Coturnix japonica: one gene and its partners. The main gene of each other region encodes a partner of the protein of the gene in region 2 in a complex. Links are inferred from orthologs where the notes say so. Each region holds a gene or a part of one and is shown on either strand. Other genes may lie near its edges.

The links.
Region 1: CACNG1 (region 2) and CACNA1S share a complex: the UniProt entries of both Homo sapiens proteins name them as parts of the calcium channel complex. The link is inferred for Coturnix japonica from reciprocal best matches to the Homo sapiens genes CACNG1 and CACNA1S.
Region 3: CACNG1 (region 2) and CACNA1C share a complex: the UniProt entries of both Homo sapiens proteins name them as parts of the calcium channel complex. The link is inferred for Coturnix japonica from reciprocal best matches to the Homo sapiens genes CACNG1 and CACNA1C.
Region 4: CACNG1 (region 2) and CACNB1 share a complex: the UniProt entries of both Homo sapiens proteins name them as parts of the calcium channel complex. The link is inferred for Coturnix japonica from reciprocal best matches to the Homo sapiens genes CACNG1 and CACNB1.
Region 5: CACNG1 (region 2) and CACNB2 share a complex: the UniProt entries of both Homo sapiens proteins name them as parts of the calcium channel complex. The link is inferred for Coturnix japonica from reciprocal best matches to the Homo sapiens genes CACNG1 and CACNB2.

Annotation. Positions count from the first base shown.
Region 1 is NC_029541.1:631,515-638,085, forward strand, and holds the start of CACNA1S (voltage-dependent L-type calcium channel subunit alpha-1S), read left to right. Parts: upstream 1-2,107; 5' UTR 2,108-2,272; coding exon 2,273-2,433; intron 2,434-5,302; coding exon 5,303-5,408; intron 5,409-6,571. UniProt on the Homo sapiens protein: Pore-forming, alpha-1S subunit of the voltage-gated calcium channel that gives rise to L-type calcium currents in skeletal muscle.
Region 2 is NC_029533.1:6,955,580-6,962,039, reverse strand, and holds the start of CACNG1 (voltage-dependent calcium channel gamma-1 subunit), read right to left. Parts: upstream 3,868-6,460; 5' UTR 3,740-3,867; coding exon 3,499-3,739; intron 1-3,498. UniProt on the Homo sapiens protein: Regulatory subunit of the voltage-gated calcium channel that gives rise to L-type calcium currents in skeletal muscle. Regulates channel inactivation kinetics.
Region 3 is NC_029516.1:51,091,230-51,097,164, forward strand, and holds part of CACNA1C (voltage-dependent L-type calcium channel subunit alpha-1C), read right to left. Parts: intron 4,433-5,935; coding exon 4,109-4,432; intron 3,875-4,108; coding exon 3,578-3,874; 3' UTR 1-3,577. UniProt on the Homo sapiens protein: Pore-forming, alpha-1C subunit of the voltage-gated calcium channel that gives rise to L-type calcium currents. Mediates influx of calcium ions into the cytoplasm, and thereby triggers calcium release from the sarcoplasm.
Region 4 is NC_029542.1:3,808,046-3,814,528, forward strand, and holds the start of CACNB1 (voltage-dependent L-type calcium channel subunit beta-1), read right to left. Parts: upstream 3,805-6,483; 5' UTR 3,546-3,804; coding exon 3,459-3,545; intron 2,369-3,458; coding exon 2,282-2,368; intron 838-2,281; coding exon 718-837; intron 605-717; coding exon 482-604; intron 309-481; coding exon 172-308; intron 94-171; coding exon 17-93; intron 1-16. Other genes in the region: RPL19 (60S ribosomal protein L19), read left to right, coding at 5,886-5,890. UniProt on the Homo sapiens protein: Regulatory subunit of L-type calcium channels. Regulates the activity of L-type calcium channels that contain CACNA1A as pore-forming subunit.
Region 5 is NC_029517.1:17,384,113-17,390,047, forward strand, and holds part of CACNB2 (voltage-dependent L-type calcium channel subunit beta-2), read right to left. Parts: intron 5,336-5,935; coding exon 5,240-5,335; intron 3,968-5,239; coding exon 3,782-3,967; intron 1-3,781. UniProt on the Homo sapiens protein: Beta subunit of voltage-dependent calcium channels which contributes to the function of the calcium channel by increasing peak calcium current. Plays a role in shifting voltage dependencies of activation and inactivation of the channel.

The DNA of each region.
Region 1 (6,571 bases), on a different chromosome or scaffold from region 2:
GGGTCCGGGTGGTGCCGGGGGTCCCTGTGGGTCCGTTCCAGCTCGGGCCGTTCTTTGGTTCGTTAGGGCGGAGGTCCCGTGCTGCTGCTGTCCGTTATTGCGGCCCACCCGCTGCTGTTTGGCCGCTGGGTGGGCCCTGAGTCCTTGCTGCTCTGCAAGAGGTGGTAGCAGAAGTGAAGCTCTGTCTTCCACAAAGGGATAGTGGAAGGACAAGGACGAAATGAGATGAGGGACCATCCCGGTGCTCCCGAAGCAGAGCTGGCTCTACGGTGGGTTAAGTGAGTGCTGCAAAGTGAAGGCGAGGAAGCTTTGGGCAGTGCTATGCAGCGGGTGGATCAGCTCGCTGTGGTGCAGGGTGTTGGCTGGGGCACAGCTCTATTAGACCATCACATCTCAGTAGGATGGGAGTATGGTTAGTGTGACTGTTGACTGCTCCAGCAAAACCAGAAGAGCAGCACGTCCTTGTGCCTTGATTTCCCCACATCTCTGCACTGCTGCAATTCCTGTGTCTTTCATTCACAGCAAACCAGAGCAGGTTTTGGACTCAGTGTGGAGCCTGAGGTTGGGGTCTAATCCCTGCCTGCATCAGCTCAGTGTGCTCAGCCTCAGAGACCCCAGAGCTGCAGGACGACGAGGGCTGAACTGAGCAGTGAACACCAAACAAAGCTGAAATCCTACAGAAGGTGGAGTGTAACGGTGTGGGCCATGGGTGTGTACAGACTGCAACAGCTGGTTGTGAGATTCTGTAATACAGAAGGGCATGGAGGCATTATTTCCCTTTTGTTACGGGTTGCCACAAACCACCACTGATAAATACAATTTAATAAATATGATAAATACAATTTAATAAATATAATAAATACAATTTTTAAAAGCAGATGTATCTGGATAACAACCTGTTATAGATATTACCAAGAAGTGTGTGTGTACATATATGTAGTAAATCTGGAGGAAATAGCACTGAGAACATAAGAAATTAGAAGTAGTAGGAAGGAAATGAGATGCACTGAAAGTCAGTAATACATCACCAAATGCAGGTGGCTACTGTACAGCTTCTCAATGCTGTAACTGCTGGACTTATGACTGAGTATACTTAGCATTACTACACTTAGGACAGTTGCATATAATAATGAAATTATTGTGTACCAAACCAATCTTAGAAGGCTGTGAGTGGATCAAACCAACCTCACGAGAGCCTAATTAGGTAAACCTGTTTCAGAAGAGGCCAACCCTCAAAAGTGGACCAGACAGTGATGGACTAAATCTCACGTTGGAGTTGATTTGCATCACAAAGTTTGGAGTCAGCCAAGGCTCCCCGGGGAAAATTATATTTAATTAGGAAATGTAGGGAAGGAAACTTCATGTGATGCAGAAAATTCTGAGGGAGAACCTCCACTTTGGCTAGGAAATGAGACGTTTTTGTATTGCAGAGACTGAAGATACTGCCTCTTAGAGCAGCCAGTAGTTACTGCTGATTTCTCTCACCTGAGCTGATTGATAGATTACAATGTTTCCTATTCCCAGACCAAGATTCATTTTCCTGAGGCTTGTTTTCTCCTTCCAGGTGATGTTTGCTGTTAAAGTTCTTCAGTTTTGCTTTTATTGATGGTATCATCAGGATGTCTCTGACTGTCAGGTTCCCAGCTGCCAAATGAGGCCAAGCCGTGCCTTCCAGGGATGCTCCCATGCTGGCAAGAATCATGCTCTGTCAGTGTTCTAGCAGGTGTTTGCTGTCAGCATTTTCCCCCTTAGGGCCAGCTCACCTTTGTGGCTACACCCATTGAGGGGCCTCAAGAATATTTCTTTGGGAAAGTGCCCCGCATCCCTGTTGTCCTTTTCACCACAGAAATGTGATTTATCAGACAGGACTGCATGTGTTCTCCTGGCTTTCCTTACAGCCTGGAGCACGGGGGAAAGAGGTGACAAGGGACAAAAAGCACTTTTCCTTTGGAGAAGATGAGCGTGGTGCCAGGCAGCCCTCCCCACCCCCAGCCCTCTCAGCGGCATGCTAAGCACTTGCCCGCCTCGCAATGCGCCGGGTAAGGAAGCGACAGCTGCTGGGGTCCTTTTGCTGCCTCAGGAGCTGCGACAGCACCCAGGAGCCAGGGATCTAAATTTAAGTCTGTGCTTTGTGTGCTGTGCGTACCAACGCAGCCTCCAGCCCCCAGAGCCCGGCTCCTCAAGCAGGGGGATCTGGAGGAGCTCTGGCTGGCTGGGGCTGGGGGTTTGGCCGAGGGGTGAGAGAGAGAGAAACAGCGTGAGGAGAACCACCATGGAGCCTGTGTCTCAGCAGGATGATGTGAAGAAGAGGCAACAGAAGGAGAAGTCCAAGAAGCCAGTGCCACCAGTAGCCCCTCGGCCACCCAGGGCTCTGTTCTGCTTAACCCTACAGAACCCACTGCGGAAGGCATGCATCAGCATCGTGGAGTGGAAGTATCCTTTGGGAAGGGGTGCTGGGGAGCAGGACCCTCAGTCTGCAGGAGGAGAGCTCACAGCACACTGCTGTGGTGGCCATGCTTGGGCTTTGTGCTTGGCTGTCCCACTGAGCCGATGAGGGAGCAGGAAGAGCAATTGGGGACACCTGGAGGATGTGTTAGAGGCAATGGTTGTGTCAGCTGGGCTCGGATGAGCTTATATGGGAAGATGGGGCTGTGAAGCCATGGGGGATCTTTGGTGGGGTGTTGTAGAAACAACCTGGGTGGCAAGGGACTGTGGGGTGTGAATGTGTTTTGTGTCTGTAAGGAGCTGTGCTGGGATGGGAGAGGTGTGATGGGGATGGGACCAGGCAGAGCAGGAGAGCCATGGCTGGGAACTGCAGTGAGAGGGGCTCGGGGTTGGGCAGTGAGACCACGGTGAGCTGCTTGGGATATCTCTTTGTGTGCATCACCTCTTGTCTTGTCCTGCATCTACTCCCTGCCATGCTGGGGGGGCTGGCAGTGTCTCCCAACTCCTTGCCAATGCTATCGTCCCCTTTTCCTGTCCCTCCCTGGTACTGTATCACAGGTGAAGGCTTTTTGGAGTGTCATTTTTCAAAAGGATGTGATCTTCCAGTGCCCCTGAGTTAATTCAGGGATGGGCTTCTGGGGTTTGCTTGTTGACTGGCCATCTCTTTACTGGGATGTTTTGGTATGGAAGAGAAGCACAGCTTCTATTCAGCCCTTCTGCCACCCTAGGCTGAGAGTAATGATACTGCCTGCTCTCCAGCTGCCTGGAAAGGATCCTGTCCCATGTCAGCTCCTCAGCTTTGTGGCTCTGACAGCAAACACTGCAGAGCAGAGATGAGCCCCAGGAGAAGGAATGCATGCAGCGATACCAAACCCATGCACTAGGTATCCCCACAGAATACAGTCGCAGCTAATCCCCACTTGGCAGCTTGCCTGGTCTGACGTCCCTAACTGTCCCATGAGGGCTTGTACATCCTGACCCTGAAATGAGGGCAGTCAGGTGCATGGGGGTATAAAAACAGCCGGGCACAAGAGCAATGTCACTGAAATCCATTGCCCAGGATTCTGTGTCCTACCCAGGTCGGAAGCACCTCCCTGGTGGGACACCACCTCTCCCTCCATGCTGCTCTCCTGATGCACTGATGTGGGAGAGGCTCTCTATGCTCTGCCTGCTCTGGCATGTGCTGACCCAGGATGAGGAATGTGTTTGAGCATGCTGGAAGACGTAGGGCCTATTTCCAACTCTTCCCCTGCAGCTCGTCTGTATGCACAAGTGTTTTCCATACCCATTGCCCATTTGAGACAAACACCGCCCTGAGAAGGATGTGCTGGTGAGGCATCTCTGAAGCAGTAAAGGAGAATTCCCCAATCTGGACTCTGCTCCCTCAGTGGTCAGAAAGTTCCTTTCCAGCATGGGAACAAGAGATCCAAGTCCACTTCCAGCACTGCGCTGGTTAATGTGGCTGTGATTCCTGCTCTGCTTACCCAGCTCTCACCAAACAGTCACATATCTCCCACATCCTTGCACCTGCACAAAGGCTGTGATGAATGGCAGCAGGGTGGGCTGCTCCTTTCACCCCTTCAAGCAGGTAGCTGTGTGTTGCTCACCCTATGGTGCTGAATCAGACAGTGGCATGGCTGCTTCAGACCCATTCTGCATAATTAACTGGGAATGGGGATAATTAGTTGATTAACTGTAGTGCAGGGAAATGCTAGTATGACTTCAGGGCTGCTGTGCTGGGATGCTGGATTTCAAGGTCTGAGCTGCAGGTGCTCACAGGAGGCTCTGCCCAAGGTGGGATGAGAACTAGGAAGCACTCAGCAGTGAACTGGGGCCAAAACGTTCATTGTGTTTTGTGCCACGCTGTACCCAGACCTGTCAGCAAAAGGCCACCAGGTGCACAGAGAAGACTCCTTTGCTTTTAGGCACGTGCACAGCTGCACGGTGTGGTGTCTGGAGCACAAACCTGTGTGGCCTGGATGCAATCAGCAATGGACAGCAAAAGAGCATGGCTGGCTACTGTTCTTCCAGGGTGGCACGGGACAGTGGGCTTGAGCTGTGCTGGGAGGAGGAGAGGCTGTGGTCCATGGGGTGGGAACCTTGTCATGGCCAATGTCCTGTGGGAGTGTGAGCCCTTTTGGGACTGCTGGAATGTGACAGCTGTAGCCTGACCTTGAGGTTTCAATGGCCCAGCAGAGCAGTGACAGCAGCAGGAGTGACCAAGTGGCTGTCCCTGGGCCTTGGAGGTAAACAACAAACCATCCTTTTTGTTCAGAGGTGCCCCAGGGCCCAGATGACTCAATTCTTTCTGGGGATGGAGGGAGACTCTGGCACTCAGCAGAACAGCCATGAGTGCACTGCCTGCATGGGCTGTGGGACGTTGAGGTGTGAGCTGTGTGTCTGCTGGTTGAGCTGCCAGCCTGGGGTGACACAGTGTACATTAGGTCTGCAGTTCTGCAGCCTCTTCCTTCTGGCGGCTGGGCACCACAACAGGAGCCAGGGCCACCAGGCTCTGGAGTGCAATGCTCTTGTGATCTCTGTGTTATGGGAGAGGATCTTGAGCCTTCAGGGTGGCTCCTGAATGATGTGAAGGGGGAATTCCCAGGTTTCCAGTCCCCTTCCTGGTCCTCCTCAGCTGCAGCCTCTCACTTTGTGCTTTGTCCCCTTACATCCTGTGTGGGTGCTGCCCCTCTCCAGGTCCTGTTTCTCACCCTGTCTCAATTCCTTCCTCTCTCCAGGGACCCCAGGAATGGGCAGAAGGAGGCTGTTTCCCTATGCTTCCCCCACATACACCCTGACAGGCTATATGCAGGGACTGCTTTCCCATCTCTCTCTCTGCTCCTTAACACTGTTTCAGACCTTTTGAGATCATCATCCTCCTGACCATCTTTGCCAACTGCGTCGCCCTTGCCATCTACCTGCCCATGCCTGAGGATGACACCAACGTGGCCAACTCCAGCCTGGTGAGATTCAGCCCTCCTGCCACCCTCCCCTCTGCAAAGCTGCCGTCAGCCTTCACTGCTCCATGGAGCTCATCCTCAGTGTGTCTGGGTGCCAAGTGTTGGCATCTGTAGGGCTGCTGCCCTGTGGGGTGGCCTCATGTGTCAGTGCAGTGAGAGAGGCCACAAATCAGAGAGACACCACTGCAGAATGGGTCTGGAGAGGTGCTGGAAATGGGTGTAGGATGAGACCAAAAGCAGCAGAGTGGTGTGAGAAGTACAAGGGAAGGAAGGATAGATCTCCTCCTTTTTTTTTTTTTTTTTTTTTTTTTTTTTCCTTCTTTTAATCTCAGTCTTTCCAAAAAGAAACTTCCTGTTTCAGGAAGGCTGAAATGTTTTGTTTTAGCATCTTTGGGACCGAATTGCCTGGCCATTCATTTCTAAACTGAATTTTAATTCTGGGACATTTTTTTTTTAAAGAGGAAAAAATAAACCACCCAAAACCTCTGTGAAGGAGAGATCAAACCTTCCCAATCCATTATTCCATTGTTTCCAGTCCCTCCATCTTGCCTGGAATAAGATGTTTTGGTGTGATCCAAATCAATAGCTTTCATTAGGTTTAGTTCGCCGCGTCCCCCTCTTAGATCCCAACTGTAGTTCAATCCATATTGATTTCTATGGTGAATCTGAGTTTGGGCACTGAATCAAAGCATCCAAATATGTTGTTTATACCAAAATGTTCTGTTTGCTAATTTCAGGACTCCGCAGTGATGGGGTGGGTGTTGTGTGCAGGTTAGTGCTGGCAACCTGTGGCTTAAAAACACCTCTCTGTATTCTCTTTTTCCCTTCCAGAAAAATCTTAAAGCAGTCCAGAAGTTTGAGATATGGAATAGAAAGAAAGGATTTCATTTGAGCAGGTTACTTCCCTGGCCATGGGGATGTGACAGGGCTTGAAAGGCGCAAAGAGGTTATAGAGGCAAAGAGGTCTGTGCCAAGAGATGGAGATGGAAGTGATAGGGAAGAAGCAGGAGGTGGGGGTGGCAGCGGTGGGTGGGATTTGGCTGAGATCAGGATGCAGGTGAGGGCAGAGCTGTGGGAAAGGAGCACGTGGCAGGGTCCTCACTGAGCTAATTGCATGAAGAAATTTCATCTGTTTTACACATTATTTCTTTAATCCTATGCCTGAT
Region 2 (6,460 bases):
AATAACAGCAGCAGGAGGCAGACCTCGAGGATTTGGGCCTGGATCTATCACAACACTTCAGGAGGTGATTAAGCAGCCCTGACAGCTGTGCTTCCCCAGGTGCCCTCCTGGGATCACTCCCTGCACAGAGATAAAGCTGCTGGTTGGACACCTTCCCCTCACACCCCAACGTCACTCACAGTGCTGAGCCCCAGCCTGGCAGCAGCACGGCTGGGACGAAGGGTGCCTGCTATTTATAACCTGTTTAATTGGAAGCTTGGAGAGGTGGGGAGCAGCTGTTTGTAGGGAATTTGGCTGGAAATGTGCACCTACAGCTCTCTGCTGTGCTGGGCTGGAGGGCTCTTCAGCACCCCAGTTTGTCCCTTTAGGATCACTGGCTCCTACCACCAACACCTCTGGTCTGTTCAGTCATGGAGCCAGCACTGGCTTCCAGGAGCTCCCAGAGCAAACTGCATTTGTTGTTTATTCACACAGCTCTCTTTGCTCGTGGTGAGGAGGTAGCAGAGCACTCTGTGTTACATCTTGGGTTCTTTTGTTTTTTTGCTGTCATGTAAATGGCAGATTGCAGAGTTACTGTTTCAAGGAAGGTTTACTTTCCCTCTCCCAGGGGATGAGCAATTCCAAGGCAGCGTTTTTGGGCCCATTAGTGGAAGATTCCTCAGAGATGCTGTTATCTACTTGTTTTAAAAGCTGAATTTTATTCCATCTGCAGCTTCTTCTCGCTGAAGACCCAGTTCATGTTCAGCTCTGACATCTCCTGACCTGTTCTATATGATCCCTGGAGAAAACATAGCTGAACTCAGACCTCACTGTCTAAAATTGCCTATTTTGAGGCCCAGAGCAGAGGCTGCATGTTGGTGCCTGATGTCAGTGAGGGTCTGGTGACCCGGGCTGGGGAATTCTTCAGCTCCCGTGCTAAATGGGAGGGAGATGGGATACAAATGGTGTGCTCCATCTTGGGTTGGTTGGTTGTTCAAAGTGTGAGGTGAAGCCAAGCAGTGTCTATGCAGGGATCCAACCCTTCACTCCACAAAGGCTCAGTGAAGGGGAGAGCACAGAAACCTCTCAAAGATAGGGAACTGTCTGCTGTGATGTATTGTTCTCAGTTTAAAGACACATTGGTGCACTGCTGAGCTGGGAATGTCTTTATCAACAAGATTCCCTGTTACTCAAGAGAACTGAGGCACTTCAGTCCCTCCCTGGTGCCATCATGAATTAGAGAAAAGCCCATTTGTGTCACAGCACATTTACATAATGGATGGGATTTAAATTGAGTTTTATAGTGGAAGAAAATTTTGTGGCGATCTTTGTTTCTCTCCACCCCTTAACTGCATTCTCTCTGCCACAGGTCGTATGCTGATGGAGCAGCCCATGAGCTCTGCAGTCATTTAGAGCCACTGTGAACTTCAGGGACATAGTGTGTGGTTTATCTGTCCTCCCTGCTGCAGGTCACCTGCAACACTCCTGGCCCCTTCCCTTCAGATCCATCATTACTGGGGGGATATGGACCAGAGGGGAACAAAGCAGATCTTCTGGTAACCTATTTGCTCTGCTACATTTCCTCTCTATTCCAGATGCTGGCACCCATGTTCCCACACTCACCAGCTCCCATCTCTGCTGCTGCCCTGAGCTAGGAGCACACTTCTGAGCTCTCCTAGAGGTGGAGGTGAGCTGTGCTCCCCCAGCAGTGCATTGCCCCAGCAGGCTTCAGACCACAGGTGAAAACATCTCAGTATTCACCTGAAATTTCCCAGCTTTTATAGCCCTTTCCCCGGACTTCATCTTTCTCATAGTAGCACACTGAATCCTCTCCAATTTGTCAGCATCCTCACAAGAGTGCTGTAAAATTTTAAAGTTCTGCCTAAATCACAGTTCTGCTCTGTGGACTGCAAGCCAACGCATCCTCTGCTCAGAACCCAATAAATAGTGCTAATTGTGGCATCCATTTCTTCCTCAGGGAGTGGCTGGTAAATGCTCATTAAAGCAGTGATAAGTTCTGCTGTTTCTTTTCCAGGGCTGGCAGTGATCTCTGACCACATCTCATGATTTCCAGGAAAACCAATGTCTGCATCTCCTCTCCCTGTTGCTCCATTCAGGTTTCCTTGACAGCTGCAGGCTGCACAGCTTCTCTGTCCCCTCAATGGACTGAGATCGATCCAATGAGCACACTGAGCATTAAGCAGCCCCAGCCCAGGGGGGCTGTGCTCTCCCCATCTCCCCATGGTGAACAAAAAGGGGATTTGGGTGTTGTTTTTATGACAGAGATAAGAATGCGAGGAGCTCTGAAGCCCCCGATGCTGCTCATGGCACAAGATATCATCCAAAGTGCCAAATATTTTTATAAACAGTGAAAAAGCTGCAGGCTGTCCAGTGTGGGACTCAGCTCCATGAGGTTCTTTGCAGAGAAAGGCAGCTCTGGGCTGGGGTTCAGTGCTCTGTGAGCACATGCTGGTGTCTGTCAAAGGCAGGAGCTGCTTTCATGCTGCCCTGGCCACAAAACTGCTGTCTGCAGACAGCTGGATATTTATGGGCTTTATATTTACCCTGCAGTTGAGCCGTTTTGTTGTTTATTGAACAATTTCTATGGTTTTCCTTCCATGGGTGCTATGCTCCCCATGTGAGGAAGGGCAGGGTGTGAGCAGCGTGCTCCTGGGCACACAACCACCTCTGTGAGAAGCAGCGAGTGACACACTCCCAAATTTGGTTCGAGGCAGATCTGAGCACTGTGACTGAGCCAAATAGGTAAAGAACTGTGCAAATACGGGCAGCATACAGCAAACACAGGCACTAAGATTGTTCACATGAAGTTTTCAAGTATATGCTAATGTATGTATTTCATTTCTAGCAGCGTAGCTGACATGAAGGCAGTCCTGTTTTTTTCTGACCTGGAAGGTGTCCAGTTCCCTACGGGCCTCCTGCAGCACAGTCACAAATGGGAACGTCAGTGCACGCGGTGCAAATGTTGCTGACTTGGCACCACGCGCGGAGCTGAGCCCGCTCCCCATTGACTGCAGCAGGGGAAAATGGGGAGAGAAGAGTGAAGGGTGGAGCAAGTTGGTTTTGAACTCCTTGTTGGAGTTTACAACTCCTTGTTGGAAGCTCGCAATATAAACGGCAGCTCCCTGCCCTGAGAAATGATTGTTCTTGAAACTGCTTGGGGATAAGCTAGTGCTGGCCATGAGCAGGCTCAGGGGATCCAAAAGGCACAGCCATGCAGTCGGGCCCAGTTCTTTAAACACTCCTTCTGCTAAAGCTCTGCCCACTGCTGTCAGTGCACCTGGGTGCTGTGGGACATCAGCAAAGCTCACTCTGTCCCAGTTCCCACCGTGCCTGACCCTCTTCCCCTTTTACCCCCTGCTGCCATTGCACTGGAGACGATGACTCAAATGCAGCTGCAAACACACAGCACTGTGCAGCCCATTGGGCCACATTCGGTTCCCACAGCATCCTGCAGCCTCCCAAGCAAAGTGCCACACAGGGACAACCAGCCATACGTACCTCCAGGCAGACTGATGGGCCCGCAGCCCCTCTCTTTGGCACCTTGCTCCTGCATCTGAATCCTCTTCGTGCAGAGCCTCCAGAGCCCGAAGTGAGCCGCCTCGCAGGTGGCATTGAAGTCCTCCACCCTGGGGCTCAGCACAGCCCAGTGGTCCGTCACCACGGCCGCGAAGAGCAGCGAGACGCCCACCAGCAGCACGCAGAAGGTGAGACGCACCTTCAGTGGTTTGGTCTCGTCCATCCCGTGCTGGGATGCAGCTCCTGGGCCGCCTTGCCCTGAGTCCTGCTCACCCGCAGCCTCCCCACGCGGGCTCCCTTCGTCCTGGCGCGTCTGAGCCTCTGCAAAATGTCAGCCCCAGCTGCTGGGCTGTGTCAGGAGGCTATTAATGCACAGAGAGAGGAAAGCTCAGCTTTCCGCCCCGTCCCATCCCGCGTTTGTTTTGGATTCCCACGGCCAAGCGGGTGCTCCTTCAGAGCCGCTACCGCCACTGAAAGACTCCGTTCTGCTGACTTGCAGCATGACCAGAAATAGGCATTAAAGAGATGATTAACTTTTCAGTTAGGTTCTAAGCCATCTGTGTTTATAATAGCGGCGGAGCTGCGTTCAGTCTGATCCTAAATAGCTTAATAACAGAGCCAGAGCCTGCAAAGTGCCTGCACACGCCGGCAGCTCGTGGCTGTGTCTGCACGGGGAGCTTTGGAGCTGGGTGCTGGCAGAAGGGCAGGCTGTAAAGGACATGCCAAAGGAGCCAATTTTTATCTGTTGTATTGCTTGTTTTTACTCATATTGACTCGTGAAGGTATTTAGAGGTGTCTGAAGGATGGTGCTGTGCTTCCCTCCAGAAGAAGAGAAAGGTTTATGTCCAAAGTTTAACTTCTGAAATACGGTGAAGTTATATCATTGTAATTCCACTGGAGAATGGCTGGGACTAAATGATACCTGAAGGTCCCTTCCATCCCAAACCATTCTGTGATTCCATATTGAAAGGATATGTTCCACTCAGAGGGTGGTGAGGGTGGTGAGGACCATCATTGCTTCTTTTGTTGCTGTAGGTTTTTGCGCCTCTTCCAATGCTGGCAAGGATCCTGCTGTCTGCTCTCATTCAGGTACTCTGTAATCTGGATTGTCCCTCAGAATTTGCCTTTCTTTTTCCTTCCTTTTTTGGGGGGGGCGTGGGGGTGAATTTTGTTAAAAACGTTCAGGAAATAATGAAGGTGAACGAAAAAGGAAAATTTCATCCTTCCCTGGCAAATAACATGATTTGGTGCCACTGGTTATTGAGAGAGGAAACTCCTTGGTTGGGCTGTGCTCCCACAGGACCTGTTCCCCCCAAACTATGGACAAACAACCAGTGAAGCTGATACCCAAAGGGGCAGAAGGAGCAGAGAGGATTGGCTCTCGCTGTGTCCCTGTGTCAGCTGGGCAGCATTTGCCTCCAAAAATCAATATCACTTGAAATATAAACAGAGTATTAATGAGGACCTGTTGGGAAGCAGGCAGGGCTGTAATTAGAGGCACTTAGCAGCAGTGAGTGAAAAAAGTGAAAATGGCACGGTCGTGTTTCTTTACTCAAGACAATGGTAAATGGTGTCTCGTGACCAAGTGCTGCCTTTTTTGTCCCAGCAGAGGTGTTGGCGTGGCTCTGCTCCCCAGCATCTGCACCTCTCTGCATTTTGTGCTGACTGACCTCAGTGCTCACCACAAGCACACTAACCAGGACCTGCAGCTCCCTTCTTGCAGGAGACCCTCACCGAGTGACAAGGACTGAGGCTGAAATCCTCGCAGACGGTGAGAACAAAGCAAGTTTTTGTTGTCATGTGTTCTTTAATAGACAAAGAAGCCTGCTGCCCATCTGCCAGCCCAGCAGCCCCATGGTGCACTGTTCCCTGCAGGCTCCGTCCCTTTGGGCAGTAAGGGCTGTCCCAGAGCTGTAAGGGCTCTGCCTTTGCTCCCCTCTCCACATCCTCCCTGTTTGTGATACCCCACTTATCTGTGAGCACTGGGGGCTGCAGGTTTGCAGGCACATGTGCAGCCTCCTATTGAGAGACCACCTGGAGGCATAGGAAATGGGAAGGGAAAGTTGAAAGAAGTATTTGAGGAAGACACCAAGCCAACAGCTAAAGAGTGCGCCTCATCTGGGCCATGTTCAATCTGGTAACAAGAATCATAGAATCTAGAAACTAGGAGGTGTTTTTTTTTTCTGAGGTTCCTACCTGAATGTCTGGAAATGTTGTAGAGATGGCTTATCCTGGGTATTTCTTGCTCTGTGTGAACACAAGAGTGTTCCTACCCTTCCAGTAAAACAAACTAGCTGCCATCAAAATAGGTAGAAACATAAAAAAGAACAAAACAATGCAGAAATCTCATCTCAGAGAATCTGGAAGCTGAGAATCTATAGATCTTTCTCCACGCAAGCCCAGATATACATTTAAAATGGTTTATTTAAAAAGGAAGGATTAAGTACATTATACACGGTTGTGATTACACCAGCAGAACTGAAGCACAGTGGCAATAACACGTTAGAACTGCAGACAGAAATGCAACCTCAAGGGATGTGATATATTAGCCCTTGTGGAGTTGTGATCCATACAGAAAGGAAATATAAAAAGAGTTTACTGTTATTGGTACGGGCACATGAAGTGATTTCTCCTATTCTGTATGAGAAACCAAAAAGAGAGAGCTGATGAGATACTCGAAATTTGTTTCTCAGAAAATGGAATCTGCTCCAATAGCATTTCTGCTGTTGTGGTGTGCTATAGGCTATTTCCAAAGGACCGGCTGTTGTTAATGATGGGATGATGATACCTGCGGGCCTTACTGAGAAACTGGGGCTGATCTGTTTTAGATGCTGTCCAGGGATGAACAGAGAGATGCAGAGAAACAGGTTTATTTTAAACTATCATTGAGTGGTTTCAAAGTCCAACAGCAATCCAGTGCCTTCTGATACATCGATACCATTCA
Region 3 (5,935 bases), on a different chromosome or scaffold from region 2:
ACCCGGTGTGGCTGGCCCAGTACTGCCTGGAGTAATGAGCAGGAGTGGTAAAGGGATGAGGTTTGTTGTTTTGTAAGAAATGTCTTTAGTCTGCAGTGTACTCCTGCAAGTCAGAGATGCTCAGTGGAACAGCAGATCGTCTTCCCCTTTCTTTCTTTCCTTCCTTCCACGCCACTCCTTGGCCATTGGTTCCTCCATGGCTTCCATCCACAGCACAGTGACTGTACCCACCATCTACTCCTGTGCACCGGGAGAGGAAGGACCCCTGGGTACTATGCCTGTCCCACTTCCATCACCCCCAGACTGCACCTCACCTGAAGGAGGCAGTAGCTCTTTGCTTAGACCTGTCACAATGTGCATGCTGCGTGTACCTCAAATGGAAATAACAAAAAAAAGCCACCCTCCCCAGAAAGAGAAAACTATGCAGCTGGCACCAGCAATGGCTGTACTGATCACCTGCTCCTCAGACAACACAAGGCATCTGCATGCTCTGCTAGCCATGCACTTCTCACTCTGCAGGACCTAAGCCATCTTCCAGCAGACTGCAAGGATTTCCCTGGCTATCGTCAGCTTTGACCCACGGGGGAGCCACAGCTTCACCAGCAATGTGCAGGGCACACTCCTTTCCTTTCTTCTCCTTCGCTTCAGGAAAAGTCCTAAAAGATGACAAGTACTGGCAGATATCCAGAATGCCCCTTACCTCTGCTCCTCTAGGCCAGTACTTTGTTAATCAGGAGCAAGGAGCACCTCTGCCTCTTAGTGGGAGGGCCAGGGGAACATTCTAGTGGAGGAAAATTAGATAGGGAGCCTCTTTGCTGCTTCCGTTTTCAGAAAACAACCAGCACAGCACTATTTCCTTTCAAGCAGATTTGGAGCACTGCAGAGCTAGCAACAGCAAACTCACAAAGGGAGAATTGCTCACATGCCAATCATGGTACAGACAAGAGGGATGGAAAAAATGAGGCTGACAGACTTCAGGTGGTTGCTTTCTCCAGGGACTTGGACTGGGACTGTGATGCCAGATGGTTGCTTAAGTGGGTTCACATTTCCCCAGCTTAAAAGGATTTGTTGGCAAGGCATCTTGAGCTGCTACTGGCCAGTTCAAAGTAACAAGAAAAAAGTGCACTTTCAAAAATATCTTCCACTATTTCTGCTTAATGGCCCCAGCAGAGTCAAGAATTAAACCCAAGGGCATTACGAAAATACATAATAAACGATGTAATCAAACATCTGTGAAGCTCACGACTGGAATGAAAGTTTAGCTCTGAGTCAGATCACACCTCTGAGTACTCATCTGCAAGTTTGTGAAACATCTTGAAAAGGGAGAAAATCAGCAGCAGTCTAGACAGAAATCAGCCGCATAAAATCTAATAATATCTCCCTGGTTTCTCAGCCGCTGTGTGCCATCGTGGAGTGAATCAGGAGAGGTTCATGCTCAGCAGCAGGGATATATGGCTGGGATATGCTGTGGCATCAGGTGTTTTGTGACCCATGTGCTAAGGTCTGGGAACATGCATGGAAACAGACAAAAGTCACTGAACATCTGTGTCATGACCAGACCACAGCAATTTTCCTAAGCAACAATCCAGAGTCTGTCCCTCACTTACCCAATGCTTTCAGTCCAGAGTTAGGCACATTTATTTTGCAAACGATTCTGCCATTTGCATTTGCTTATCCCACCATCCTGTTACAACTATCAGGATGAACTACCTAACCTCAATCTGCAAGCAGGTGCTTTTCCCCTCCCTGAATTGCTGGTGCCAGCTGAAGACATGGGATGAATCTTCCACATGGGCTTGGGTATCTCGCCACTCTCTCGTGGGAAGAGAGCTTTGGAGAGGCTGAGCAAAAGGAAAGAGAACAAAGCCTGAACAAAATGTCCCGGCCTCAGGAAGAAAGGTACTCTCTACCAACAAAGTCATCGTGCATATTTAAAGGGGTGAGGAGGAAGGGTAATGAACACAAGATATGCAAAATCAGTAACGTTCGACCTGTCAGTGAATTGCAGAATAGTTACTTACACCAGGTACACTTTGTTCATTGTACAAATTAAAAAAGGAAAAAAATAAAACAAAATATAGTACCCCTGTCCCCGACCACACGTAGAAAAGCACTTAAAAGTTCAAAGGTAAAGCTTGGCACATTCCAAATACGAAATGATTCACTTGACATGCAGCAAAATATACAAGAAGTGACTCTTTTTTTTTTTTTTTTTTTCTTTTTCTTTTAAAACAAACTGAATTCGATTTGATAATATTTGCTTGGCACAATTGCAATTCCTTTTAAAAAAATATTTGAAAAATACCGAAACTGACCTGAATTCAAGTATAACGGTTTCTTCAACAGAAACATCATCAATGCAATAAAACATCACACGGAATATATTGAAGCGTAACGCCTTCTGCTTGGTTGTTCCCCCAACCCCAATAATTTCTTTTTTTTTTTTCTATACAGTTTTAATGCCAACACGACTTATGATTGTATTTTAAAATTAATATTATTGCATTGTTTTTGCATATCTTGTGGAACAGAAGATGCAAAGAGTTACTGGTTCCCCACCCGACAGCGGGCGCTGATTTGGCGCTGCATCCCAATGGCCCCATTGGTCCCTGGGACCTGTGGGGCTGTGCCAAGCGTGTTGCCCGCTGCCGTTCTATGATAACACAACAACAAAAAAAGGAAGTTCCGCTCGGTAGCAAATCAAATGACAGAGTCTTGGTGTACATAGTGGTCGGTAAAACTTGCCTACAGTGTTATGCTTCTACCAAATGCCAATGGAGAAAAGAACCTGGCTTAAATAAAACAACATGGTCAAACCAACGTAACATCTGCAAAGGTGAAAATAAACCCAAACAAAAAGGTAGGTGGTTACAGAACCTTGTAAACACTCCCTTCTCCCTCTGAAAAAATATAATAAAAATAAAATAGTCAAAATAAAAACCGCAACATGCTCTCAAGGAAACACCGAACTGCGGGACAAGAAGAAACCCGTGCCCAGCCACTCCCTGCTCTCCCATTGGCTGGCGCGGCTGTCTGTCTGAACTCCAATTGGTTGGCAGGTGACTTGCCCACGCTCAGGTTGGCTGGCGAGCGACCCTCGAGCTCTGATTGGCCAACAGCAGGAGCCGCTGCAGTCCCCATGCTCCCCTTTTGGCGGTGCTGTGTCCTCCGGGCCCAGGCAGCGGGGCCAGGGTGACTGGGGGCGGTGAGGCTCGGACAGAACATGTGCAAAATGATTTTTACAAGCAAAGTTGAAGGATGCCCGCTGGAGGCCGGGCGCGTTTGGCTGGGCCGCCCTTGGGAGGCAGTCATCGTGCCTTGTGCAGGGACTGGAAAAAGAGGGAGCTGACTCTCCTCCTGGGCACCGCGCTCATTCCAGGCGGACGCGTGCCGGGGTCCTATCCGCTCCTGACAAGTTCTCTGCCACCACCCAACTCTGCGACTCATCCCAACAGAAATGAATGAAGAACGCTGTTCCGGTTACTCCAGGTCACGAGAACAGTGAGGCACTTCTGAAACAAACCCATTAGGAACATTGAAACAAATAAAAAACCAGCATCGCTTCCAGCCCTGGCAACTACAGGCTGCTGATATAAATCCTGCTGTCCTTCAGCTCCTCCTGACTTTTTCTACAATCCGGGTTCTGCACCTCTTCCTCTTCCTCGCCTGCACTGTCCTGCCCTGCGTCCCTGCAGTGAACAAAAGGCAACAGGTTGCCATTGGGGCTCTGCTTGCTGTTACCATTGAGAATGTTGTCTGCTGCGTTTTCCATCTCTTCTATCGTCATGTCGCAGGCGTCAGCGAGTTCCTGGGTCGTGACCTCAATGAACTTTGGATCTTGAGCAAACTGCACCAGTCCTTCCGAAATCAATACCTTCAGGAGGCGGCAGAACCAGAGACAAAAGCAGACATTAGCACTATGAGTTCCAGCCCTACTGCACCCATACAGCATCTCCCTGTTGGCCATGTTGGCCCCTCTCCTCCCACTCATGCTGCTGACCCTTGCTCAGAGATGGGTTTGGCTTTGCAGTGCATCCTGCCCTCCCAAGGGTCATGTTCCTACACTGGCCTCTGTACCACCCACGTCCCCATGCCACCGTGGCCTTACCGCTTCGACCAGGCTGCTGGCGCTGCCGTGGAACTGCCTGCTGCTCCCCGCTGTCTGGCTGGGGACGGTGAGGGACACTGGCCTGGCTCTCCTTGGGCTGCCACAGTCTGAGCTGTCGGGGAACCGGGAACTGCAGTGCACGGATGGGAAGCTGCTATTGAGCTTCTCGCTGGACTCAGCCCCCTCAAGGCGCAGCGTTGGGATGGGCTGCTGTGGCCAGCCTCGGCTGCAGGGTGTAGCAGGCGGTGTGGCACACAGCCGGGAGAACGTGGTAGGGGAATGGCTTCGCTGGAGGAGGGGGCTCAGGCCGGCCACTGCCAGTGCCTGCAGAGAGAGGGAGACACATAGAGTGAGGACTCACTCAGTCTGCTGGGCTGGGACAGCAGAGTGCTGGAGGATCTACCTGCAAAAGGCCCAGAGTGTCTTGAGGCTTAAAACAGATGATCTTAGTGGTCTTTTCCAACTGTAATGACTCTTAGGAGGCTGGAGAAATAGCTGCCAGCTCCTGGAATGGTTGGGATGTTTCTCTAAACTAATTTTGAAAGTTTTCCTTGAAGTGGTGTAGCTTGCATCAGTGCCAAGCACCAGACTTAGAGCTCTCAAGGCTGGACTTCTTCCACCCTGGGACACACCATGCTAACAGAAGGGACGAGCCCTGTGCCCCACAGCCCGGCCAGAAACACCACCTCTTCTCCACCAGTTGTGACAGAGCTTTGTTTTCCCACACTGTCACCACCCATACTGTTAACTTTTACTGCCAATTGCCCTGCTTTTTCTAAGCATCCACTGTAGAACCTGAACGGATACCAGATGTGAATTTTAGGCGTGTCTGCAGATGGCAACAATTATAAAAGCACCACTGGATTTTAAGGCACCTGCTGTGGGTGGGAGGATCAATATCTGATGATTGTACTTTGAGCCTTCCAGTCTTTCCCACAATTACATTCACAGCCCCTGAGTCATTCAGTCTCCTTTGATAACAAATTTCTCAAGAAGCCTCTTGCTGCACAGGGCTGATCTGATGCCTTATTCATGGTGGATGCTGCTTGTTCCATAAGCAATGCCATCAGAATCAGCAGCTCATCTCATGCAGCTCACTGCTGTCTAATACAAACAAAGGAATAAACACACAGAAAATACAAAATGTGGGTCTTGATCAGGTTGGAGTTTGTCTCTGCAACTTTAGCTGTCTCAAAGCAATGGTTTTAGTCCAAGCTAATTGGGTAGAGGCACACCAGAAGGCTCCTGCCTCTTGGATGCCTGCTTGAAAACACTCTTTGAAGGATGAGACTTAGACAAGGCTTATTATACTTGCCCTTTGGAAATGCTGTTTCTCCCTGTTGACCACAGTGGGACTGAACTGACTGGTTTAAACTGGACAGCTAACTTTCAGATATCTGAAGTTAAGTCAAGCTCAATCCATCTGCCACTGAAATTCCAGTGAACTGCTGTCAGTGTGCTGTGCTGCTGATTTCAGTTGCAGACAAAAGAATCAATTATTGGTCACATGCAAAGTTTACCACGATCTTCTCAAGAATTATGTGCCAGAGTCCTATCGACAAATATTATCAAGGAAGAAAGCCGTTAAAAATTAATCATGTAAGTTACGGCCTGCAGGCTGTGATAGCATCAGCATTCCCTTAAACTGTGGGGACTTTAAGGAGAGCCCTAGATCTGTCAGGCAGAACAACAGAACTGAATTTTCAGCTTAGCAGAAACACATACAAGGTGTTTATCCAAAATGTAAGGTACCAAGGAGGTTAAAATAATCTCTTAGGGATTACTTTTTCAGCTATATATACATTCAGATATCATTACGCATCAGTA
Region 4 (6,483 bases), on a different chromosome or scaffold from region 2:
GCCCAGACATCCTTACCACTGGCTGGAGGAGTGGGCCTGCGTGTCCCTGTCACCACGTCACCAAGGCTAGAGCTGGAGTTGTCACCTGATTTGCTGGGAGGGGAGAAGCAGAGAGAGGTAAGCACGAGGGCTGTGTGAGGGTTCCAGGGGGGTGGAGGGGGTGGGAAGAACCTGGAGCTCAGTCGGTTCTGCCTCATCTTCTGCTCCTGCAGCAGCCGCATGTTCTCCAGTTTGACAGGGCTGGGGATGAAGCCGACCTCGCAGCCCTCCTTCACCAGCCTCCCTATCCACCAGTCATTATTGTATTTCTGCACCAGGGGATGGAGACAGAAATCACATCAACGCCTGTAAATGGACAGCAAACAGCAGCCACACACCCTGCAACCCTCAGCCCCATGCTCTGCCAGCCCCCATCCCCAAGCCCCTGCCATCCACACCCTCCTCCTACTCTGCTCCCCCCCCAACCACTCCGGACCCTCACCTCCTTGATGTGCAAGAAGTCTTTGGGCTCGAAGCAGATGGCCATGCCCTGCACGGGCACATCATCATTGGCTGATGGGTTGTAGCCAACATTCGTCCGGACAGCAAACGCTACCGGCTTCGTCTGCAGGTGAGAAGGAGCTGAGTGTAGGCGGCATCCCCTCAAACCCCACAGCGAGAGCCAGTGCCCCACAGAAGGCTCCCAGTGACGAGGGTCCCAACTCCCCCAGGTCCCACCTTGGCTTTCTCCAGCTGTGCCAGTGCCTGGCGCTCAGCCTCCTTGCGCAGCGCCTCACGATCCTCCTCCAGGGACACATCTGAGTCCGAGGGGCGGCTGGTGTAGGACTCAGCTGAGCCCTGTGATAGTGTGGAGAAGCCTCAGCCCCAGCCCCACAGATCAGCCCCAGCCCTATGCAAGGACAGCCCTGTGGGTGAGCACCCAAAGGACCCCATGCATTGCTGGGTGCCCCCAGCCTGTGCCTCAGTTTCCCCTGAGCCAGGGGGGGCCGTGCCGGGGTTACAGCAGGCCGAGCACCAGCGCAGCTGTTCCCATTGCTCCGGCACGGAACGTGACACCCCGCTCCCGTCCTGCTGTCAGTGGGCTCCAGGCCTCTTGTTAAACTGTGGGGGGGAGATGAGGACCCCCACCCAGAGCTGGCAGCACCCCAGCTGTCCCCCCGCTCTGCACCAAGCTGGGGGAAGTGCCCAATGCCAGCTCTGTTCCAGCCACCCAGGGGTCCTGCAGCAATGGGGCTGCACAGTACGGGGGGCTGGGGGTCACCCCAGGACAAGGCTGCAGCTGGGGCCTCTGCTCGACCCCCACAGCCCCTCATTTCACCCTGTGCTGCAGTCAGAGATACGGGGGGGGGGGGGACCTCAGGGCTGTGACCCCCATGGGGACAGCAGAGGCACCAGCCCTGTGGGGTGCTGTTCCCCACCCAGGTCCTCTTTAATCCCCACGCTGAGGCAGCCCCCACCCTTCCCATAGAGTAGGGCAGCCCCTTCCCAAACACCCTGCAGACACCAGCACCGTCCATGGGGCAGTAGCCCCCACCCAAAAAACCCACACGGGCAGAGATCAGTCAGCCCCTTTCTGAGCCATTTCTCACCAGTACGTCACAGCTTGGGGTCCAGGGGGGCAGAGGAGTGGGGGCTGTGGGGCAGCAGCAGGCACACTGTGGTGCCAAGCTGGAGGGGCTGCTGGGAGTTGCTCACCCCCAAACCCCTTTAAGTCAAGGGGGAACCCAAACCCTGGGATAGGGAGGAGGGGCAGGAAGGGGTGGCAGCAGTGTGGGGTGGGGGGGATGCTCACCGGGGCGGCGAGGTGGTCTTTGCCGGTCATCTCCATGGTGGCAGGGCTGGGGGCAAGTGGGCTGGGGGGGGGCGGGCGTTGCGTGCTGGGGCACCCGCGGGTCGGGTTTCAGACACCCGCAGCCTGCCGGGGTATATTTAGCCTGGGGCGGGGGGGTGGGGGGGACAGTGCCAAGCCAGCGGTGGGTGGATGGGGCTGGGGAGGGCGGGAGTGATGCCAGGTGGGCTGCATGACCCCCCACACCAGCATCAAAAAGGGCAGGAGATGCCCCAGGACCCCAAAGGCTCCTGATATGGGGGGTGGATGCCCCCAGCACCCCCCACCCCAAGTACTCAGCTGCAAACCAGGACCCCCTCACATGGTTCCCTGGGGGTCAAGGGCTACCAAAGAGACCTTCCCCATTAAGCCTCAGAGGATACATGCCCTGGGGGGCGGAAGAGCCAAATAGGGGGTCTGTGCCCCCCCCATCAACACCCCCCCCATGCTCACCTGCCGGACGAAGCTGTTGGAGGTGGTGTCAGACGAGGTGCTGCCATCCGAGCGCTTGAAGCGGCTCTTACGTTTGCTGTACTTGCCCTGTGGAGAGGAGGGGTGACAGGTTGGGGGGGGAAAGGGGGGGCACTGTGAGCATCATCCCCCCTCCAGCATCCCCAACAGCATCACTTCAGAACTGAGCACTGGCTCTGCACCCCCAGACCCCCACATACTGTGGTGGGGGGGCAGGATGCTCTAGGAGGGGGGGGTTGGGCCCATAGCAGCAGCACCCCCCCCCCCCCACATCATCCCTATGCCACCCCCTCGCTGTCACATGCCCCAGCCCCACGCACACACACGTGTAAGCTCCCTCAGTAAGAATGTGCCCCCCCCACTGCACCCACGGTGTCCCCCATGGGGGCTGACAGTGCCCCCATAAGGGCTGTGGGATACAGTGTGGGGGGGGTTGAACACAGGAGCACACCGGGGGGTGCTGGGTGTGAGTGGCTGGGCTATGCCCCCCCCCACCCCCCCTTAAAGGACAGCTGGGCCCAGCTGCCACCGGTGGTCTCCGGTATTTTTAGGTCCCTCCCCCCCCCCCTCCGGCTCCATCCCTCTGTGCTGGAGGAGGTGAAGGCCCCGGGGTGGGGTCAGCACCACGGAGCCCCCCATCAAACCCCAACCCCAGGGCCTGGCTGTGCCCCCACCCACACAGCCAACACTGCCTGACCCTCCCCAGCCTGCAGGGGACACACACACACACACACACACGAGATACCCCCAGCCCAGAGGGTACATCCCCCCACCCCACACCCAGGGGATGGAGATTTGGGGGGGGGTCGCACCCATTAAACACTGACTCTGCACAGTTTGCCCCATCCCCAAAAGTTTCCCTGTGAACCCCCCCCTCCTCCAGACTTGGCGTGGTGCTGTGGGGGGGGGCACAGCCATGGGGAGGTGATGCAGTAAAGGGGCGAGCTACCCCCCCTCAAAAAAAAGGAAATAATCTTCCTGCTGTCTGCTTTGATTTGGGGGAGCAGCGTGTCTACGGGGGTGGGGGGAACCGAGCTACAGGAGGCGGAACCTCCATTGGTAGGACGTGGGGAGGGGATGGGGGGGGGGGGTTCCATCCATCCTCCCCCCACCCCCCCCCCCAGGGCATTCTCTGACCCCCACCCCCCCCGGGTATCACCTGAAGGGCTGTGTTGTCGAAGACGTCCATCTGGATGTCCTGAGCGGAGCTGTAGGGCGGGCGGGCCATGCCCCCCTCCCGCACCATGGAGCTCTCCGGGCAGAGCGGGGCCCGAGATCGGCCTCCGCCGCACCGACCCCCGCGGCGACGGGCGGGCGGCCCCGGCGTGCGGAGAGGGGAGGAGGAGGAGGAGGAGGAGGAGGAAGGAGAGGGGGGGGCAGCCGCTGCCTCCGCCCCGGCCGCTCCCACCGCGCTGCCGGGAGGGATGCGGGATGCTTCCCTTCCTCCTCTCCCCTCCTTCCTTCCTTCTTTCCCTCCCTCTTTTAGGGGAGGGCACCCCCAAAGCTGCCCCCAAAACAGGGGGAGAGATGAAGGATCTCCCCCTCAAAAAAAAAAAAGGCATACATATATATATATATATATATATATATAAATATAAACGCAGTGGGAGGGGGTAGCTCTGACCAGCAGCTCGCTGCAAGGAGCTCCCCTAAAATCAAAACAACATGGGGGGGGGGGCACAGCCCCTTCTCCATATCTGGGGCTAAACCTGGCTTCCAACCCATCCCTGGAGGGGGGGATCCATGCTGAGAAATCCATGCCCCCCCCCCATAGAGCCCAGTCCCCCTTTGTGGGGTCCCCCTGTGTCTCCCACTCCTCCCGAGCAGCCACCAGCTGTTGGAAAGTTCCTTATTCCTGGGGGTCCCGCCCCCCCCTCCTCACTCCCACACAATGCACCCAGCACAGCTGACACCACGTTTTCCATTCTTAGACCCCATCCATCACCGTAAGGTGCCGACGACAGCACCTGTGCAGCCAGATGGGTGGCACAGCCCTGAATGCAAATGGGGACCCATCTGCAGCCCCTCAAGCTGGGGGTGCAGCCCTGGATAATGGGGTGGGGGGATGGATCAGCTGGAGGTGGGGATGGGACAACATGGAGGTGGTGGGGGCAGAGGATGAGTGTTGTGCTCCCCAGAGCTGCGTGGGAGCAGAACACAAGCAGTGTCACTGCTGGAGCTGCAGTGCAGGAGGATGGGAATGGGGACTGTGCTGCAATGGGTGGAGTGTGGGGTGGGAGCTGTGCCCTCAACCCTATGGGATGCTGTGTGGGGTTCAAGGATGCACCCACAGGGGGGAGGTGTGGGTGTTAGAAGTGTGGGCTCTGTTGGTATGGGATCCATAGAGGTGTGGGCTCTACATTGATACAGGTTGAAGCCTCCCCACCTTCTCCACCCCACACGAGGGCCCCAAAGCCTTACAGGACATTGATTCACAGCTGCAGGTTCACAGATGGACACGATCCAGGTGCTGCTCCAGGGGGCAGGTAATCAACCAGCAGCTGCTCTCCTGCTTTGGGAACCACCAGATTTGAACGTTGAGATGTAGAAAAAACGCCGAGTCAGGTTTTTAAACAGCCCAAGCCTGTGTTTATCCCTGTTTGTCTCTCAAAACCAACCCGAAATCTGCCGCCACCAGCCTCCCTGTCACACACACCATATGCCAAAACGCATTCGGCCGCCAGAGCCACAGCGTGATGGCAACAGCACAGACTGAGCAGGGAGCAGCTGTAAGGGAAGGGGCTGCAAAGGGGCTGCAAGGGGAAGGGGCTGCAAAGGGGCTGCAAAGGGAAGGGGCTGTAAAGGGGAAGGGGCTGCAAAGAGGCTGCAAAGGGAAGGGGCTACAAAGGGAAGGGTCTGCTGTAAGGGGCTGCTGCAGGAGGAGCTTTAGCTGCTGTAAAGCTGGACTTGCAGTGAAGCAGAGACCCATATTGAGCTGCTGGGGGAGCCTTAATGCTGCCCTGTGGTGTCTGAGGCCACAAGGGGCCGCAATGCTCCTCACAACGGGCTTCACACCAACACAGGCCTCACGTAGGCCATAGGCCTCACTGCGACCCCCGGCCTCACAACTCCAGGCCTCACACCAGCTCTAGGCCTCACAACTCCAGACCCCACACCGTCCTTAGGCCTCACGCTGACCACAAACCCCACACGACCCCCTAACCCCACATCAGCCCCCCCCTAAACCCGACCCCCTCCCACCCCTCATACAGACCCCACCCCTCACCCCCCCCCAGCCAAGATGGCCGCTCCGCCCTCACGCTGCCTACTCCGCGCCACTGCGCATGCGCTCATCCCCAGGCCCAACCCACGGCGCATGGACCGTACCACTGTGCCCAGAGGGGGGGTGCGTGGTGAAGCTTTTCCTCCCCCCCACAACGCGAGTCCGTCCGTGTCGCTCCTTTCGCTGTATCCACGCGTGATCGTGACTCTGTGTTTCTCCGGCCTCGTTTCTCTGCTTTTTGTGGCTGAATAATGCGGCTGTTTGGTGCTGTAGCACAGTGGTACATTCCACTCCCCGTGGCTGTGGCTGTGGGCGCGGCCTGGCGCTCAGTCCTTTCCGCCCGGCTCGGCCGCAGCCGCCGCCATGAGGTGAGAGCGGGGCGGCATAAAGGGACAAGGATTAATGGGATGGGGATGGGATCCGAACGGGGATCAGCGGCCTCAGGGCTGGGGAACAGCCCGGTGCTGCCTTATGGGGCGGCTGCATCTCTTACAGGCTGCGGGGATAGGGGGAAAATGGCGGCCGGGCCTGGCGGCGTGGTGGGGGGGGGGAAATGGCGGTGGGGAACGGGAGGCCGGGCCGGAGCCGGGCTGTATTGGGCTGTATTGAGTTGTATTGGGCTGTATTGGGCTGTATTGAGTTGTATTGGGCTGTATTGAGCTGTATTGAGTTGTATTGGGCTGTATTGAGCTGTATTGAGCCATATTGAGTTGTATCGGTCGACTTGAACCAATATGAGTTGAATGGCTGTAATTGCCCATATTGAATTGTATTGTCTGTATGAAGCGTGTCTTGGGATTGTATTAGCTGTATTGAGCTGTATTGGGCTGTATTGGATTTTGTATTGGGCTGTATTGAGCTGTATTGAGCCGTATTGAGTTATATTGGGCCCCATTGAGCCGTACTGGGCCCCATTGAGCCGTACTGGGCCCTATTGAGCCTTATTGGCTTATTGGGCCGT
Region 5 (5,935 bases), on a different chromosome or scaffold from region 2:
AGTCATACAATTATTTTTTCATGAAACTGTACTGAAGTCACCCAAGTTAGCCTCAATTTTGCACTCTTACATTCAGAGCCATCAGAAAATAAAGATAGTCTCCAGGGCAGCTCACAGATAGATTTTTAGAGCCGTTTGGATGCGGTGCTCTGAGATACGATTTAGCAGAGGGTTGTTAGAGTTAGGGCACTATGGATGGGCTGCAGTTGGACTTGATCTTTGAGGTCTTTTCCAACCTGAGTAATTCTATGATTCTTTCTATTTTTGCACATTGTAAGCTGGGAGAAGGAAGAAATTTTGTCCTTCAGACACAGATCCTGGCAGGTGTGTTTCCTAGCAACCCAACAAATAAAATTACAGGAAATCGGGCAGGAACAGAACTGCATTTTGTTAGGAATTTACCAAAATCTCAAATCAGCAATTTAACAATTCTGATATATCTTTGTATCTAAGACAACATGTTGTATTATAAACTTCTCAGCAACCAGATGAGTTGCTCCATGAGAACAAAACACCATAAATGGTGGTCGAATTTTTATTATTTTTTTTTTTTTGCTCTTGTTTTTATGGTTATCGAGATGATTGTAATTTGCTGGAAAAAGAATGCAGTAATTGTAAACATTATTAGATGTGTTCTAGGTGAACTCGTACGGAAGTGAGCTATACCACCGTATCAAATGAAAAGCTAAAGAATAGAGCAATGTCTGCTTCAGATGCACAAACATATTTTTATTAGTTTGTAACCATGACTGTTTTAAGGCGCATAAGCTGGATACACACATGAAAACCCTTTAATTCTCATATGGTCAAATGCTGAATATATAGGTTCCACTACATTCTTTGGACTAATAAAATCTATTGTTGCTGTGGTTTGAGAACAAATACAAGATCTGAATCTGCTTCCAACAAAATGCTGGTTTATAAGCTCAGATGCATCTTTTCTGCTATGATGAGCATGTGTGGAGGAGCACAGTCAATACATTTAGAGCCAGTACCATTATTACCCTGCATCTGCAGACTTGTGTAGAGGCTATTAGGATTTATGGGCAAATTCACTGACAGTTAATTTCCCTAAATATTACAGACAATGAGCAGATAATGTTTCAGTCTGGACTAAGGTCTGGCCTTGTGGTTTATGGCCAAATTAGGGCTCTGATATAAATTAAGTTCTGCAGTGCGGAAGTTTAATGGCCCAATTTCATAAGATTTTCACCCCAAATGGGTTGTAATTTCAAAGAATAGGGGTTCTTGAAAAGAAGTCTAAGCAGAGTTGAAGGAGGATAGAGGAAAGTCTGCATCTGCACACTCAATTGGACTCACTCTGTTTCCTCCCAAAGGTTCCCTAATCACCTACACCATTTATGTTTGCTCTCAGCCTCCGTTATGGAATTTGTCAGCCATCTCTTACGAGCGGAAATCTGAGAAATCTCCAAGCCCTCCACCAGACAGGCAGGAAGGGTGTGGACTTCCCCAGCTTCATCTCAAACAGCCCCAGGAGACCTCACACCTTCAAGCATCTCATGCCATGCAATGCACACCATCAACACTGTGCTGTAGAAGTAACAGCTGGCAACACAAATCTGTCATTGCAATAAATACTGGGGACTAATAAAGCCAAAAACCAACTAGGTCTCATGGCAGAGGGGTGCCACATTGGACCCAGATGAGGATGAGTCGAATGCTTTGCTTTGCAGATGTGACCCTGCCAGGCCAAATGCTTTCTCTCTGGAGAAAGCATGGATGTCTCTGGAGCCATCCACAAAGACAACACATGACGTAAACTTAAAACACTTCCAATAGTAGATTTCAGCATGACCCAGATAATGGGTTCAGCTGTCATGATTAGAAAACCCGCTCTGTTCCAAGACCTTGACAGACCCAGGTTTGAGGTGTCAGCTGAATGTGTATCAGGAGAGTGAAACAAAAGGAACATAGAAGTTCTGTATTCCATAAGGAAAGTCCACTGCTCTGCACATTTGGATTAACAGACCTACAAACAAACAGCGAAACTGCAAATACACTCTGAATTTTAGTACTTAAAGTAAAAAGTTGTTAATTTGAGAGGAGATACAGGTAACACAACAGTCAGAAATGCGTTTAGTTCCTCCAGAGAATGCGGTTAATAAAATGAGTGAGTTATAAATCCACACCCAACAGACGTTAAAAAATAAAAAGCTTAAATAAAAATAATTAAGATGTTTACAGAGCAAATCAAGTTTATCTAGCAAGTCTGCACACGACAATACTGAATTTCATACTCAGAAATTCTTCCAGCTCACATTTTTTTCAGTGCGTTTCAGCTCTGAGGACAGAAAAAAAGAGGCAAAAATGAGCTACAACTTAAAGTCTCTTTTCCTGCAACTGCATTTGAAAGCTGGAGAGGGAAATACCCTGCAAGGTAGCTGAAGCGATTTTTCTCATTAAAGAGAGAACCTGGTAATTCTGTGGGAAATAAATCCTAATAATAATTCTAACAAGAAATAAATTCTTCAAGACAAAAAATAAACAAAAACAAAAGCCCCAAACTGTTTTGCAAAATCATAAAAACAAAACAAAACAAAACAAACAAACAAACAAAAAAAAGCCAAATTGTCATCATTTCACTTACAGTGAAGAGTTGTTTTTTTCTTTAAATTTAGTAAGTTTTTTTTTTAGCCAAAGTTATGGACTCTGATTTGTGCACACTTTTTTTGGTGTATATACATCCGCTTGGTGTAATAAATGTAACGTAATGTAATAAGCCATTATTGGAGCTGGATTAGATCCACCTTTACCCTCACTGTAATCTTTTTGACCTTGAGGTGTAGTGATGTAATGAAGCAGCATCTTTAAAGTCCTCATTTCATGCCATGCAACATATATACAAAGGAGAGAATCTCTTTATACACAATTAGGTAAAGTAAAAGTTGAAAGAGAAAAGAGAAGATACAATATGACCAAAGACAAAGGCAGGTCAGCGTGCAGGTGGAAGCAAAACATGATCTTCCCAGCTTGCCGGGCAGCAACCCTGGCAGTTGAAGGCAAGCTTCCTCTCAAGTCTGTCTGCACAACATGCAGTGGGACTCTGCCTTTATGTAAGAGTTTGGCTTGAAGGAAACATGCACTTTTCACAATAGAAGCAAGAAAAAAAGAGCAAAGGAAACACCTGAAGGGCCACCTTGACCTTGAGACCTCACTAATGTGGTTAGCCACTTCCAACCTCCACATCCCGACATACTGTGGGAAGATGTGCACAGGTTCCCTCTACCCTTTGTGAGTCTGCTCTGCATAACCCAGTTTTTCATGTCGGGACTCTGAGGGTGGGATTTGCCTGCTAGTGCAAATGTGCCTTTCAGTCAGAGAGTTACCAGAGGCAGCAATGCACATAATATTAGCTCAATTTTATTCCTCTGGTTGGATTACAGAGAGCTGGCTATAAAAATGCTTGTGGCTGGTACTCACGTTTCTGGCATAGTGGTGTTCCAGACACAATGAAACCTTATTCTACATTGCATCACTATATGTTCTCAATCAAGCTTGCTTAGCCTCAGGAATCAAAATCTGCCCACCAGTCAATATGCAAACACATGCTACTGCAAATAGAACAGCAGTAAGAATAACGTGTCTGTATTTGGTTTTCATACCAGAAATGGGCAACTATGGAAAAGTGCTTTATCACCAACCGTAAAATATATTCAGCATATTCTAGTATCAGACCACCACTGTGCTTTGGAAGGGAAAGTCAAAAGAAAATTTACTATTAAAAAAAAAAGAAAAATAAGATATGGTATAAAAACTGTACCTGTAAATTAATATTTGGACCTGGGCTAATAGGAAGAGTGGCTGTTGCAAGTGTCCGAGTGAGAAGCTGGTTGGGAGGATTGCTGCTAGGTGGATGTGTGGCCTTCCAGTAGGCTTCCAGATAGTCAGCGAGGTGCTCACAAGCATCTTCCAGCTGGTTCTCATCAAGAATTACATCGAACATCTCCTGATAAAGGAAAAGTTTTAGTGAAGATAACCACCAGCTCAAGGGAGATCAGCTAGTGACACTGACGACTACACTTTGCATTCATCAAAAATGAACCACGCTTATAATAACTGTATTAAGACATTTCACCTTTTTTCTTCTTCTTCTTGCAAGTAATACAAAGGACAGCACTTATAACTAATGCTGATGTTACATTAGCTAAGTCAAGCCCTCATGAATTCCACTTAGTAATGCATCAGCAGTCAATGAAGGTGAGAACAAGAGTCTTGAAGAAGTTTTAAAACTCAAATATTCAAAAAGAAAAGTTTAATATTAAAGTTTCTTAGCAACTAGAACAAAATGAAACTTTAAGAGAAAGAGACCACCATCCATACATAGAACAATGCAGTCAAAGTTAAGACAAACTAAGACAAATAATTTGTAACAGTGGTAAGGAAGAGCAGTAAAGAACATAAATTTTCCAAGTTTAATATAAATACTAGGCAAAAGATTAGTCACAGGTACCTAAATTCAGGGGGAGAATTTCTTCTCTGGTCAGGCAGTTAGATGTCCTCCTGAAGGCAATTCTGAAAGCCTATAGAGGTTTCTAGCATTGTTCATTGACTTCTGGAGGAGCTGAGAAACTAGCCTTGTAGCTGAGTGGCTTGAACTTCAATGGAGAAAACATTTTCCTCGCTCAGCTTCTTAACTATGGCAAAGTTCCTCATCTGTAATTGAACTGAACATTTGTCTTCTGGGTTCTGGTCACATTCCTGGCAGCTGAGTTTGCTGGTAACCTGGTAACACTGCTTGCCACACACAGCATACGTGCATGTCAATAGGAGAACCACAAAGTTCTCAGCTATGTGGCACCCCACAGCTCTTTGCCAAAACTGTGACCAAGAATGTGAGCAGTGATGGACTCTGGTGACATACGCTGAAGAGAGCTACTCAAGTCACTTGCCTTACCTTAAACTGCACTGTCATAAGGAGTTTATTTTTAGATCAATAACTCAGAAATATATATCAAATAAAACAAACAGTTTTCTCAAGCAGTGCATGTATTCAGCACACATCCTAATAAATGTTTGTGACAAGGAATGTTTTTCCCCTGTATCCTTGTGAAGAGCCCAGAGACCTCAGGAGGCATTGTGCAGAAAAGCAGTGAAATATGGCCAGAAGGGAGCGAACAGTCCTAGCAATTACATAACTAACTTGCTTGACAGGACAGACATCTTTAAACAGGAATCAGCTCTTCTTGGCCAAACAAGACACAAATCAACATTAACTCACAGGAGGACACTGTGCCAGTTTATCAGCTGCCACCATCTGAACATTAAGGTGTTTGGCCTGAGATTTCCCTCGAGATTTTATTAACCTCTGTAAAACCTGTGGAAAATAAGACATTTATAAAAGTATGTTAGTAGTGGAGAAACAAACCGACAATAAGTATGAACTCTCTCCGAATCACTTTGAGAATACTTCTCACTAAGTGGCCTGTAAGCAGGTACAGACATAACACACATCTTTAGCCACTTAAAAAACACTTGAGCAGATGATTTTCTTCATTTCTGGCTTCAGGAGCACCTCCCCTGCTGCTTACATCCAGAACAAGCTAATTTTCATTTACTCCCCAGCACCTATGATCTATTACCAACACAAAGAAGTTCCCTTCCAGTTTTCCTTTGCTGCTTCTGTGTTTGTTTCTAAATTAAAGTGATTTAATTGCTCTCCTCACTAATCCTATTGTATTTCAGTCTTGTCTTTCAAGTGCCTCTTCACAAGGCCTGTGCAGGTTATTCAGAGAATGAAAGTAGGTAACTAAGAAGTTTAAGAGCTCACTACATCACTCTGATATTCATTATTTTAAAATCTTTCCTTCTTTTCTCTATTGATTGAATAAATTGTTAACATAACTTACAAGGCTGATACTAAAGAACATGCAAACACACACAACACAGTCCCAATTTTAAAAATCATTGGAGCTAC